Linked DNA regions of Mus musculus: region 2 is reported to be linked to region 1. The links are microRNA targets in miRTarBase. Many come from high-throughput screens and were not tested one by one. Region 1 holds a microRNA gene; the other region holds the end of a gene's coding sequence.

The links. Region 1 holds the annotated microRNA mmu-miR-24-3p (UGGCUCAGUUCAGCAGGAACAG, at 4,918-4,939, opposite strand). A microRNA usually pairs through its seed, bases 2 to 8, with sites in the 3' UTR of a target mRNA and lowers its output. Matches are read on the target gene's strand: a 7mer-m8 pairs with bases 2 to 8, a 7mer-A1 pairs with bases 2 to 7 and ends in A, and an 8mer does both.
Region 2: miRTarBase lists Gba2 as a target of mmu-miR-24-3p. Seed matches in the 3' UTR shown: 8mer at 720-727.

The regions. Positions count from the first base shown.
Region 1 is chr13:63,299,082-63,306,189 of GRCm38, reverse strand. Mir24-1 (microRNA 24-1) reads right to left here and starts at 4,982; the gene lies at 4,915-4,982. It overlaps Aopep (aminopeptidase O), which reads right to left. Exons shown (of 16, transcript NM_001289926.1): 16 at 3,313-7,108. It overlaps Mir23b (microRNA 23b), which reads right to left and starts at 5,706; the gene lies at 5,633-5,706. Mir27b (microRNA 27b) reads right to left here and starts at 5,478; the gene lies at 5,406-5,478. It also overlaps Mir3074-1 and a transcript of Fancc not described here.
Region 2 is chr4:43,560,744-43,567,839 of GRCm38, reverse strand. Gba2 (glucosidase beta 2) reads left to right here. Exons shown (of 17, transcript NM_172692.3): 16 at 1-115; 17 at 373-912. The coding sequence ends at 651. Tln1 (talin 1) reads left to right here and starts at 5,257. Exons shown (of 57, transcript NM_011602.5): 1 at 5,257-5,710. Creb3 (cAMP responsive element binding protein 3) reads right to left here and starts at 5,182. Exons shown (of 9, transcript NM_013497.4): 1 at 4,881-5,182; 2 at 4,634-4,790; 3 at 4,489-4,559; 4 at 4,282-4,371; 5 at 2,473-2,579; 6 at 2,305-2,373; 7 at 1,636-1,720; 8 at 1,462-1,546; 9 at 779-1,371. The coding sequence starts at 5,027. The coding sequence ends at 1,043.

The DNA.
Region 1 (7,108 bases):
CTGCCCCGTCCATGTTCCTGGTCCACCCTGCCAGTGCCTAGGTAAGGTCATTATACAGACAAGAGACAGTGGTGGACCCAGGACAGATGGGAGAGGTCCCATACTCATTCCTGTTCTGTCCTCGGGGACTCATAAGCCAGCCCAAGCCTGTTTCACTGAATTGGCCAGATTTGATTTTACAAGCCAGCTGAAGAGAAAGGGCATTGTATCTCCAACCCAAGCTTGCACACACGTCCTGTCATGCCAGGTTTCTGGGGCCATCGCCAGCTGCTGAGGCCACATTCTGGTGACTGTACCTCTTGTTTCCTATGCTTCTCCGAGAACACGGACATGGACACTCCCAGCGGGATCAACCACCAAGGCAGGGCTTCTTTCTGGCCAGTCTTCCCACTGGGGCTACACATGCCAACACCAAGAGCCGGTCTCCTCAGCAGCCCACCCCATCCTGGGAAACTTCCTCCGCTTGCCCCAGTCTCCTCCCTGTCTCACACTGTCTGGTCATTGGTCTGAAGAGAACTGCCTTATTGGTTCATCAATCTCTCCGACAGCATCAATGGGTGGGAAGGGGGCCATAAAACCGTCCCCTGAATAGCCGGATGGCTGCTCCTCCCTCCCACCTCGTAAACCCCACAGACCAGCCAAGGGGCCCCCGAATTCACTGTGGCTAGGGTGAGTTCACCCCCCTCACTGAGACTACTCCCTGAAACCTTTCTTGGGAGGTCCAGGCACTCCCCACCCACGCCAGCCCTGGGAGTCTCAGAGATGTGATGAGGCTAGGCCACTCCCTAGGGAGAGAGTGTTCCAAGGGGCTGAATAACCACTGAGCTTTTGGAAACAATGTTAAGCCGCAGCAAGGTGTCTACATACTGTGGGAATGGGTATGGCAGCCCAGCCACTCAGGGAGCAGGCCAGCTAAGGCCACAGGCCCAGCACCCAGGACTACTTGGCAGGTGTAGCTGGGGCGGGGTGTTCTCCTTTCCCTTACCAGGCCAGTGCTGTTCCTGTACTGGCTGGCTCCGTCTCTGTATAAGCCTGGTGGGGACCAGCAGGACTGAAGCAAGCAGCTCTGCATGTGAACCCTTCAGATCCCATCCTCTAAGTACTGCTTTCTGTTGCTTCCTGGGCCATAGCTGCTTTGGAGAGTTGGGGCAAAGGTGATGCTGTGGATAACAGAGATCCCTGTGTGTGTGGCATCCCCTGCTAGCTGGCCGCTCACTGGGCTTGTGTAGCCATGTCCTGCTAAGCCACGGTCAGGAGAAAAACCTGGTAGGAACTTGGCACTGGCCTGGAGTGGACCCTGAAAAACCCTCTGCGTTTGGTAAGGACTGCTTACTTTGGGATATCTGCCATTTCTGGTTTCTACCCTGGGGACATTCTATGACATTTCTGCTCACCACAAGCAAGAATACCTTGCTATAGTATCAATTATTTCATTCTTTTGATGTGAAATTCGTTTGAATAAATAAATACATAAATGCTTTAAAATCCTCCAGTACTATTGGAATAGCTGAGTCAGAGCGCCCAGAGTCCTTTCTGGGACTTTCTCAACCCCACCCTTCCCTTCTTCCTGCCTGGGTCCAGCCAGAATTCCCAGTACCTCTCCCTTGGCTTCTGTCCAAAGGCTCACAAACAAGGTGGTGAGCTCCCAGCCAGCCAACCTCTGCCCCTTCCTGGGGTTCAACTCTCTTCTACAAATCCGAGTGTGGATGGCTCCCTTCCTAGGCCAGGTTCAGGATCTATGTAGAGGGACAAAACAGTGGGTTCAGGATCTATGCAGAAGGATAGCCCACAGTGGGGGCACTGATGTTTCCTCCTGTGCAGGGAACCATGGCCCAGGGGTCAACATCAGATGATCTAGATGCACCCCCTTCCTGTAGCCCTGGCCTCACTCCGGTTGAGGCCTGCTCTAATCCTTGTCGGAAGCATCCCAGATAACACGGAGGGGTGTGTCTCCTCTGGAGAAGAGATGGAGTAACTCTAGGCTGTCTTGGTTGGAAGGAGGCCATTTCTGGTGGGATCAGTGAGAACAGGCTGGCCCAGCCCTGGCCTGTTGTTCTCAAGTGATGGACATCTGCTTAGCAATGACGATGACAGTATTCAGTGGCAGGGTTAAGAGGCTGGTGTTTCTGCTATCCCACTCACCTCTTGGCAGTTATCTCACACGGATCCTCCTGTCCCGGCCCCTCTACCTACTGGAGGCATGGGCCTGGTGGTAGAGCACTTTGCTCCCATTGGGTTTCTCTCACCCTTCAGCTTCCTCCAGGAATGAAGTGAGGCTAGAAAACGGCATGGAAATAGTGCTGGCAACAAGTGTGCCTGACCACCAAGGACAGTCTCAGTCTCTCCAGGGACAGAGGAGCAGACTCAGGTTCAGGCTTCCAGGCTTTCAACACAGGCTCAGTCTCACATCTGAGTGGTGGGAGGGAGAGTTCCTTAGAGGGGTTCCAAGCCCCTGCCTAAGGCTTGGACACCAAAGCTCTGAAGACCAAGCACTACAGAGTGGTCTACAGCAAACACTGACCCAGGGATCCAGCTTCTTGCTCTGCCCACTTGTGGTTTGGAGCAGGAGCCTGGGTGATGATCCACATCCTTCCTCCGCCAACAGTTCACTCATCACCTGAACCATATGCTATAGAGCAAACTCCTCCCTGGGTGAGACAGCTCAGAGGAGGAGGTCAAGCCTCCCTAGACATCCATTCTTCCGCCCTCAGACCCTGCTTCGCATCCTATTTGACAAGTTAACGTTTGCAATGTTCTGTGTCCTGTGAAGTCAGGTGGCTCACGGAAGAATGGAGACTGCACTTTCTTGACTCCAGAGGTCTCAGCCAGATGAGGGAAGCCTGCTTCCACAGCCTCATGGGCCTCTGGTGCAGCTATGGGTGGCAGGAGCTGCTGCCTAACTTGTTGGGGTGGGGGACTAGAGGAGAGGGGAGGATAGGCTTGCTCTGCACCCAGCCAGAGGTGGCAAAGGACAGCTCTACCACAGATCCTTCACCAAAGCTGTGAAATGGGCATCTGGTTCCAGTGAGATCTCCACTTACCTGAAACCCATTGGCAAGAACCCAAGCCAGACACAGCCAGGCACAGGGCTCAGTGACCCATGGGGACAAGGGACTTGATCCCTGAACAAAACCCACCTTAGGCGACAGCTTTGTTTTGCTTTAGTGGTTCCTAAGAACAAAGAACAAAACCAGACTAAACCAGTGCTTGGCTGCTCTCTCCAGTTCAGAGGAGGTATGGGCCACTGAGGTTCTCAGAGGGGCCTTACAGGGTGTGTGGTTCTTAGTCCACCTCTAAGCAAGGCCAGAGTGCTTCTGAGAGCAGGAAGGCATAGACTCAGCCATTTATTTCAAGTCTTCACAGAAATCAGGGTAACATTAAGTAGAATTAACACACTTTGATACTTGTACCATTGTGGTATACAAAGCAGATAACCATTTGCAAGTCCCCTGCAACCATCCAAATGCAGTCACTGCTACAGCCCAGGCTCTGAAAACCAATGGTTCTGTGCGGACGCTCCTCTCAGTCTGTCCTAGAGCCTTTGTCACCCAGCAGGTCTGGGTGCAGAAGCCTGGCCAGCCAGTGGGATGCTCCTTCTGGTTCCTCTGTCCACCGCTCTGCCTTGGCTGGGCTCATGTGACTGCACTGATGGCTCAGTCTCAAGCACCGTTCTCTAGACAGTGACTGAAAGAGCTTAGAGCTTGTTCTGAGACTCCGCTAGTACCAGGCTGGCTGAAACTCCACATTTGGAAGAGAGCAGAGTCCCAAGCCACACTAATTTCCCTTTACTTCCAACCTTTTTAGAATTAACATTACCTGGAGGTAGGAAGTGTGTGGAAAGTGCCTGTTCTGACACACGTTCTTCTTTGCTTTTAAGGAGCATCAAATTCAGAAGCAAACTGGAACACTAGCAAATCTGGTACTTTATTAAGACATTTTAGGCTTTCCTGCATTTTCAAAAACAGGAATGCTCTGTTGACTGAACACATCAAAAGGGCTTTGCAGAATCCTTGGGGACCAGCCACAGGAGGTGTCACATGATTCTGCAGTCTCAGAGCATGGCAGCTAGTTTTTGCAATCACAGGAAGCAGGCAACCGGCTCTCCATCTGCCTAGGGGAGGGTGTCCTTCATTGAATGACTGCCTTAAAGTCACAGCTCAATTCCAGTGTGTAGACTCAGTCTCTCTAGGACTGGGAACAAAGGCAGCTGCCAGGTGCAACAGTTTATGAGGCTCCGCCTTTTATATATGCCACGGGAGCCCAGTCTCTGGAAGCCCAAGATGGACCAACCACTGCTGTGGGCTGATGGCCTTAGCAGCCACATAATCCTCCCTTTGATGTCCAGGGTCAGTGCAGTCCTGGCCCCACCAGGGCTAGGAGAAGGTATATGAGAATCTCACTGTGATCTGTCCTGTGGAGGAAACAGCAATAAAATTTATTACCCAGTCACCACAGCCATTCCAACAGGAGTCCTCCCAGCCTCTGACCTCCACTTGAGAGGGAACTTTTCATGGGAGGACAGGGGCAACACTGAAGCCACACCTCACAATCCTGGGTCTGGGGTGCACAGTCACGGCACAGGCCATGCAGGGCTGTGAAGCCCAGAGAGGTTCAGAAAGGCTCTACAGACAAGGCCCTTCAGACAGGCATTCTCACTGCTCAAGGCAGCGGTGACATGGTGTGCTCTGCCCCAACACGTGGCAAATGCTCAGCGCCTGCCCTACCTGCTTCTAGGGAATGCAAACTTTCCAAGGTTAGCTCTGCACTCTACAAATCCCCACCTCGGGAGCACATACAGAGGGATACCACTGCTGTTGGGTCTGGTACCAGACACTCAGGCCCTTCATCTTCTTCTCCGTGGGAGGCCTGCCTCAGGCACTTACAGATGGGTAGGCTTTTTGCTCAAGGGCTCGACTCCTGTTCCTGCTGAACTGAGCCAGTGTGTGAAATGAGAACTGATATCAGCTCAGTAGGCACCGGAGGGCGGGTCCAATCACAGCTGGGCAGTGCCTCCTGGCGTGCCCTGGGCATCATCTTGCCAGCGACTGTGGAGACATGGAGACCTGGACTGCAAATACAAGAAAGAGTTCACCACGCCCAGCAGGGACAAAGAACCACACCCCCACCCATCACGTGTGGCATCAGCTGAGACAAGGTTGGCTCAGTTTCCTTGATGCACCTGGGTTTAGTTTTCTGTGACTCCCAATACACTTGACATTACAGTGAACTAATTAGCAGTAGAACTGTATTTTCTGTAGACACACTTAAGGGTGGTCAGCACGCTGTTTGCACTCTTGACAACACAGCCTTGAGGCAGGCTGGTCTCTCCTCCTCTGGAGTGACCACCAGGCAGTGGCCTCTGCCTGGCAGCTGCAAGTTAACTGTCCCCATCTCACCTTCTCTTCAGGTGCAGAACTTAGCCACTGTGAACAAAGCGGAAACCAATCACTGTTCACCAATCAGCTAAGCTCTGCACCTTGTTAGAGAGGTCATCGCCGGCCATAATTAAAGGGCTGGTGAGCATCTTCGAAGGCTGTTGGCTTCTTTTGTTTCCAAAGAGCCACAAGGCGCCTCTGTTCTCCAAACTGCAGAGAGAAAGTAGCCACGGTTCTGCAGGAGCAGCCAAGGTCATGGTTGCGTGGTAATCCCTGGCAATGTGATTTTAATCTCAAGTCACAAATCAGCATGCCAGGAACCCAAGCAGCCAGAGCAGGTGAGGGCAGCACCATGCCCAACCACTCCCATCCACATGTGCTGAGTGTCCTCCAAACCGCCTCTGAGCCCACCACGCTAGCAGTGCAGCCTGCTGTCCTTCAGCGCGCTGGCTGCACTGTATAGAGGAGCATAGGGGACTGGGAGACAAAGGACACACTTATCAGCTATGAGACCAATACCTTAGGGACCATCCTTGCTCTGAGTATGTGGCCTTTAACCCTGGGACACACCCTGTTCTCCAATTGCAGACTGAATGGGTTGGGATGTCTCTGGGCCCCTCAGACAGCAGGTGTGGTGTGTAGGGAGGGAGCATCTCTCTGGCTTGCCTGTGACCAAGCATTTGGTTGGATAAGCTGAGGCATAGCACAGAGCTCATAGGGGACCTAGCAAGTTGAGGATTTGCTCACTCAGGGGGCAAAAATACTCTTAGAAGAGTCACTAGGACCACTATGTGACTATGGCTTTCCTAAGTGAAGGCCTAGGGACCTAAAAAGGGAACAGTGGCTTTACTGTGTGACCTTCACACACCACATACCAACAATCCCTCAGCTTACAAGTTTCTAGAGAAATGTCTGCAGGAGGCAGTGAAGAGGCGCCCCGACCGACTCTGTCTATCCACACAGGCCACCGTCCTAGCTTGTAGTGTGCAGGCTTAGCAGGCTGTACCTGCTTACTCCAGCCCACTATCTCCCCTGCTTGACTGTGGCGGTCCCCAGCTCTTCTGCAACAACATGGTCATACATAGTAACATGTTTTCCCTTCATCAGTGTAGTTCTTCAGAAAAATAAACATTACACAGAAGTGGGTTTTATAAAAGTGAAATGTGAAAATGTAAATTTAATGTCTGACAATGGGTTAAGATTAGCAACACAATTCTAAATATTCATTAATTGGTAATCATAGAGAACAACAGAGTAACACAGTGATTGATGTAAAATTTCAAACATATACAAAAGTAAACATCATATGTACCACCATGGCAAGCGATAATGTCCTGGGATGATGTAGAGATGATGACTGGCGACTATGAAAGAGACGCACTAGCCCACACCTGTCTCAGAACTCCACGCCCTGTGGCTGAACTGCATTACTGGTCCACAAGCTGGCTACAGAGGAGGCAAGTTACACCACAGCCAAGGACTCTGGGAGCCAGCGTAAATCCTGTTCCAGCACGAGATGGAAACAGACTTGCCTTTAGGACGCAAGTGTCACTTGGATGGAGGGGCAGAGAAGACCTGCTGCCTACTCTACAGGTCAGAGAACCAGAGGCCAAGGAGTCTCAGGTTTACACAGCCTCTAGGAGAGATGCCTGCATGCTGAAGCCTGGAGCAATGAGGCCATGGACCGCTGTGTTGACCTTGACCCTGGAGCCTGTGGACCTGTGCAAAATCCA
Region 2 (7,096 bases), not on the chromosome of region 1:
CATGGGGGCCGTGAACGGGATGCACCCTCATGGTGTCCCTGATAGATCCAGTGTGCAGTCTGATGAAGTCTGGGTGGGTGTGGTCTATGGGCTGGCAGCCACCATGATCCAAGAGGTAATGAATTCTCTTCCCAGCCCTTCACCATTTGTACTGAGGTCCAGAAAACTTCCTCAGCCACTAACTTTATTCCAAGAACACCCTACTGCCTGCCATCTTATCCGTCCACAGAGCGCCCTTCTCCCTAATAAGTGTTCCACCTCTTGCCTTTAAGTTCTTGCCTTTAGGGCGAACGGCCTCCTGTCTTCTCTGCTCAGCTAAGGTAATTGTGCCAAGAGTCAGTTATTATGTGTGACTTCTACGTCTCCCCACAGGGCCTGACTTGGGAAGGTTTCCGGACAGCTGAAGGCTGTTACCGCACTGTATGGGAACGCCTGGGCCTGGCTTTCCAGACCCCAGAGGCATACTGCCAGCAACAAGTGTTCCGCTCCCTGGCCTACATGCGGCCACTGAGCATCTGGGCCATGCAGCTGGCCCTGCAACAGCAGCAGCATAAAAAGAGCCGCAGGCCATCAGTCACACAAGGCACGGGACTAAGCACACAGCCTGAATGTGGACCAAAGAGATCGCTGGCAAACCTCAATTCAGAGTGATCCCTCTGAACTGTGGAGGCCCAGCCTCCACACTGGACCTCCTCCTTCCTCCCACAAGTCCTGCAGCCCTGAGCCAATAGGACAATCGCGCCCCTCTTCCTTCCCAGCTGTGCCAGTAAAAAGGGGCTGAGGAACCACTTATTTATTTCTTACCCTACCCAGTCCTTCCATGGATGAAGTATTCAAGGCCAGTAAATGTCTCCAAATCTATTCACGGGGCAACAGATACATATGGGTATAAATAAAATACTCAGAAAACTAGTTAGTGTGGTGTGTCTGAGTTCCTGGGCATCCTAACAGAGCACGTGAGCAAAGGCCAGCTTTCCCCTGCTCCTTTTTATTTGAATACAGACAGGAGTCCTCAGGCTGAGGACACCCCACATCCTCACACCTAACCTGAATACCTGCCCTGAAAGATGACCAAAGAAGGGCTGTGGTTAGGTTGCCATCCCTCGCTTTCTGAAAGGTTTGCCTGCAGGAGAAGGTTGGAGTCGGAGAAGAGCATCTCTGAAGAAAGATCCCAGAGTGGCCAGTGCAGGGGCTGCTCTGCCTGAGGCGCGTGGTACAGTACACAGGAAAAGTTGCTGGAGACCAAGAACATATGTTCTGAGCTGTCCAGTGACTGGTGTGTGCTGTCCATGGGTAGCTCTGACGATAGAGCAGATGGCTTCGGCTGATGATCGTCCTCGCTGGGGAGGGCACGAAGCTTGCGGTGCAACACTGAAGAGACAAAGACTGGTCAGGAGACCACACAGAAGAAGCCCTCTCTCTACCACAGACCACGCCCGAAGGTGTCCTTAAGCCTCTTACCAACATACTCCGCGGGCACACTTCCCCTTGCATCAGAGGAGTACATAGCGGGTACCAGGAGAAGACAGAAGGAGAACACGAGGACCTAGAACACAGGGAGAAGAAGGGGGTGAAGAGCTCTGGGTCACACACCCCATCTCTGCCAGGGAAAGGATCTCTTGTCACCCTCCTCACCAGAACACAAGTGCTGCCGCTGCTGGTTTTGTTGGCTATCTCAATCACCATGGCTTGAAGCTTCCTCAGTTGATCTAGAAGGGACCTAAGAGACGAGAGGAGACGGTAGTGCGCATGCTCTGGCCGAGCATGCAAGGCACGATGAAGGCCTCCTGTCTTAGCTACCCTCTCCACTCATGCTGTGGATCCAGTCTCAGCTTCCTTGCCTTTCCCCCTCACCCCAAGTGTCTTTGTGCACAAATGCCTGTGATTCCTTAGTGAGACAAAAAAAAAATCAAACTGCTCTGTCCTGACTTAAATACCTTCAAGAAAAACTCTCCAGTAGCTGCAGTACCTGATCAACTAAGCTTGTGCTTCCCCACCAAGCCCTGTGCTCTCTACCCAACCCCAGAGCTAGAGCCAGCCAAGCACAATGCAGCCTTCTCTCCTCCCAGTCCCATCCCCACAGCTGCAACTGCAATGACGCTGACGACCTGCAGTCTTTTCTTACTTCTCTATCTTGGTACTTAATTGCTCCTTAGCTACTTATAAGTTTATTCTCCATCACGCTTGAGACATGGCTAACTTCCGGATGTCTGCATTTTTGAGCTATCCAGTTGGAAGTCATGTGGAACAGTGGAAAGAGTGAGAAAGCATTAAAAAACCGATTGTCTTCAAATGGCCGCTTACAGATTCTGTTCCTCCAAACGCTGCACCTTGTTCTGCAGCTCCCGATTCTGAGCTGTGTATTTCAAGACCCTAGAGGACAACATGGATGTGAGGACACGTGGATTTCAAAATATTGTGTCTCCTCCCTTCAAGACCCTCCAGGCTTCCCCCGTGTCCATCCTTGCTTACCTGCTCTCCAGCCCCACGACATACACCTTCTTCTTCTTGCGGCTTTCTTGAGCTGCTCTCTTGTTACGAATCTTCCTCCGCACTCGTTTCAGAACTTGTTCCTCCACCTAAGAGAAGATGGGGGAAAGGTCACCCACAGTATGTTATTATATGCCTGTATGTTATACCTATATATACTACATAGGTATGTTGGAAGACAGCTAACCTTCTTCCCAATCAAATACTCTCCACAGCCTCTCTGTCAGTAGGCATTTACCTTCTGTGTGAACACCAAGGAGCAGATATTCAACACTAGAAAGCCAGACTTTTTATTATTTTTTATGTGTTTGGGTGTTTTGCCTGCATGTCTGTATAACGTATATGTATAATGGGTGTGCCTAGTGCCCACATAGGCTAGAAGAGGGTGTCAGATCTCCTCGGATTGTAAGCTGCCATGTGGGAGCTGGGACTTGAACTCATGCCCCATGGAAAAGCAGAAAGTACTCTAAACCACGGAATCATCTTTCCAGTCTCTAATTAATTTTAAAAATTCCACTTAAGCTAGGTGTGGTTGTACATGCCTGTAGTATCAGCACTTGGGAGGCAGAAGAAGGAAGTCAGGATTTCAAGACCATCCTTGGCTAGGGTAGTTTTTGAGGACAGACTGAGCTACATAAGACCATGTCTCAAAACTAACAACAACAACATCTACCCTTATCCTAAAGCAACATCAATCTTCTTATAATTTCCATTCATTTGATTTTCCTAGAGTCTCTAAAGTGATATAGAATATATCCTTATCTTAAGGTACTTTCAACTTTTTTTCTTTCAGAAACTAAAACTGAATAAAGTTAACTCTTACATTCTCTGATAATGCCTGTCAAACTTGGACACTAGCCAAGAGTGACATCATACACTTGTAATCTAGTCCGAGGGAGTTAGAAGCAGGAGAATCAGGAATTCAAAGGCATTCTTTCCCTACTACATAGTTTGAGGCCAGCCCAGCCTGGGTTTACAAGACCCTGCCTTAACAACAAGGGCCAGAGGGCGTGGCTCAGCAGTGAGCATTGATGAACATTCATGAGGTACTGTACTCCAATCCCAGTGGGTAGGGGAATTATGGCATGCTCTGGCCAGTGTAAAGGAAGACAAGACAGTTACTATCCTAGGGACAGAACCACTATTGATAATTTCCAAGTTCCGTTTCCTTTCCTCCCAATATATTGCTCATTCATCTTGTAATAGTGATAGAGGGATAGGGGATGGTTTCTCACATAGCCCAAGCTTGCCTGAACTCAACATGAAGCTAAGTCTGTCCGTTAATGCTGATCCACCTGCCCCAAATAAGTAAATATCTACATATCAGAAGTAAGACAATATTAAAAAGGCAAATGACATTAAAAAAATTTGCCACAAAAACTAGATGCAGTATTCTTGTAATCCCAGCACGTGGGAAGTGACTTTGAACTTGTGAAGACCTTCCTGCTCCTGCCTCCAGAGTGCTAGGGTTATAGAGGGGTGCACCATCATGTCCAGCTTTGACGATTGTTGATGTTGTTAGACTGAGTCAGCCTCTCAAGCATTTCTACCACTGAGTATGATTCGAGGTCCCAAGATAACAACGGAAGCTATCAAGGCCCTTCACTTTCAAGGCTCTGTACTAAAGTTACATTTAAAACATTATCTTTTGACGTGGGTGTGTGTTTGGAGATGAGAGAACTTGTAGGAGTTGGTTTGTCCTTTTGCAAGTGATTGATATGAAACAAACTGAGCTTGCCTACTTGGGTTACCAACCCCCTCCAGCCTTTGCTCTACCAACAGGAGCCTTACCTTAGTGAGAGGAAGGGTTGAGGGCAGAGTGAGCCCCTCCTTCTCCAAGAGCTTCTTCTCTTCCTCGGTCAGTATCAGCCTAGACATCTCCTAAGGATGGAGGAAATAGTGAAGAGAGCAGAGTTGCATGGAGCTCTCAGAGCAGTATGGGGGATCTTGGCTGCTGCAAAGTGAGGTAATCCTGAAAAAAAAAATCAAGTCCAGCACCTGTTCCGCTGCTCTTTCCTCCCCTGGCAGTGGAGTCACGTGGAACCCCTCCTTTTCGAAGCTCTCAGTATCTGCAAAAGGGAAAGTAGAACCAGCTAGCCCAGTGAGCTCTCTCCTCCCCCACAACTTATCATTTCACACTCACCTAGATCTATGGAGACGTGCTCCTGTGGAAGGGAGTAGTTGTGATCATGGAGAATGGAAGAGCTGGAAGAGCCGAGAACATCCCGCGATACTGAGGGACTGAGCAGAGAGCTCAGTAAATCCTCTACCTCCCAGTCGCTCAGTTCTTGCACGGAGTTCTATCAAATTCAAAGGCCTTGATTTATTTCCGTACCTTGGGTCTCGCGGACATCCCTAGCTTCCCCCACTGGGAACACCCACCCACCCACCTCGGAAGGTGACAGCTCTAAGTCCAGCGGAGCCTTCACGTCCGGCTCAGTCGCAGCCCACAAATCTCCGCTTTCCTCTAGCAGGAAGCCCAGCAGGTCCTGATCACCGGGATCCAAAGCTAGCAGATCCTGACCACCAGGATCCATTTGGGATATCTATGGATAGAAATCCCTCCGCGCAGATCCAACCTCCGAACCTCAGGCACGACCCCTCAGTCTGTCCAGTCGGCTCGACTTAACCTCCGTCACTCCGGGACAAGGGCCTAGCTGTCACTCTAAACCGCACCCGTCTCTCAGCTTCTGTATTCCTCAGCTTCCAACACAACGGAAGTGGTGCACATAGCCCCGTGGAATCCTGGGACTTGGAGTTCTCTCCAACTCGGAAGTGGCTCCTGGGCTGCGCCACGTCCCGGGGGCTATGCAAATTATGGGGACGTCCTTTCAAGCTTCCCACGCCCCAGGGCGGGGATTCTGAGGATCCTTGTCCGCCTTCGCCTCGAGCTATTAAAAAAAAAAACTTAAGCGTTTAAAAGGGAACTCCAGCTTAGTTCGGGCGTTCTCTCCAGAGCTCTGCACGCTCGCTTCCTGCTGGGGAGGGGCGGCCAGGCTTCGCGGGCGCCCGAGCATCGAGAACTACGGCCAGAGCAGCTTCCTGCAGTCTCCGCTACCATAGAGCGCGGGCCCAGGGCGCCGCCGGCGGGTGGGGGACGTTTCCAGGACGGAAGTGGCCGAGAGTGTGTCGAAGGGAGGGCGAGGCCGGAGCCCCAAAAGCGACCGGGAGAAGGAGCGGGTAGCGGGCCCAGGGCGGGGCGCAGAGCCGGGCAGCGCAGGTAGGCCGGACGGGCTGGGCCGAGCTTCTAGGTGGGGCTGCGGGATCGGGCCAGCCCGGGAAGCGGCGGGCGGGGCCCCCAATCCTCCTGCATATCCTGTGTCTGGTTAGGGAGGTCAGGGTCCAGTATGTTTCGGTTTGGATTTGGAATTAAGCTGGCCTTGTTGCGAGAAGCAGGCCCTTTCGCGGGGGTAGACAGTTCTCTGTCTCGGCTAGGTTTGGGGACGGGTAGAAATGGGGTGGCAGTGAGGCACTGGGTGGCAGTGAGGCACTGGGCGGGGATGGGCTTTGGTATTAGCCGATAGTGAGTAAGTGGTTAGGAAAACTTGGGGTGAGTTTGGGTTAGGTGCCGTCGCGTTTAGGAAGCAAGGATCCCTTTAGAAGTTAAGAAGGTGAACTACATTCTAAACATTTGCTGCACGAGTCAAGTCTGTTTCGCATATGTGACATTTAAACTGAGGTCATTATTTTCTGCAATGACCAGCATTAAGTCAGAGTACAGGATCGGGTTAAGGATCAACAGGAATTGGCTTAGATGCCCGTTTTAGGGATTAAAGGCCGGTGTCATGGTCAGTATTAAGAATAAACAGTGAAAAGGTTAATTAAGAACCAAGTTACAAATGAGCTTTAGAACTGCAGGGTGGGGTGGGAGGGAGTATTTAGGGTTAAATTTGGGGGATTTGGGCCTAAAAATAAAAGCCAGATTAGTATGGGTGTCTTCTGGGAAAGGGGTGAATGTCAATGTATAGGGAAATAGGAAATAAAGTCAGCATTAATGTTAGGAATTGGTGATAGCGTTAGGGGTTGAGGCTGCAGCTACAGCTGAGCTGGTAAAATGTAAGAAGTTGGCAGGAAGTAGCTACCTTTGTTTTGTAGTGAGTTCTCTTATTCCTGTGCAGTTACAGAGGCCTCTTTTACCCAAAGAAGTGCTAGAGCTCTGGACCTCAGCTAGAAGTGCCAGGACTCTGCTTTCTCTAGTCTACTGCCTAAGCACAAGGCTTCCAGAGGCCACCACCACTGGGAGACAGGGATTTCTGGGCTGTGATGTTTACGAGGTGGGAGGTGGGAAATGGAAAGAGACCCAGGAGTCAGACAAGGTCCTAAGTGAGGATGGGGAATAGGAAGCCTGTGACTGAGGGGAAGCTGACCAAGGGAACGCTGTCGACTAAATGATGACAGTTTGACTCGAGCCTCCCTCATTCTCCACACACTGCCTTCTCTCTGTCTCTTTGCCCTCCCTGGTCCCACATTGCATACCTTTACAGTTCCTTACAGATACTGTCGTGGTCTTTAGCTCGTCTCCTGCTGTTCATCTGAACCATTTCCCACCCCCACACCCCTGTCTCTGTCTCTTGATCCACACATCCTACTTTACTTCATGTCCCTC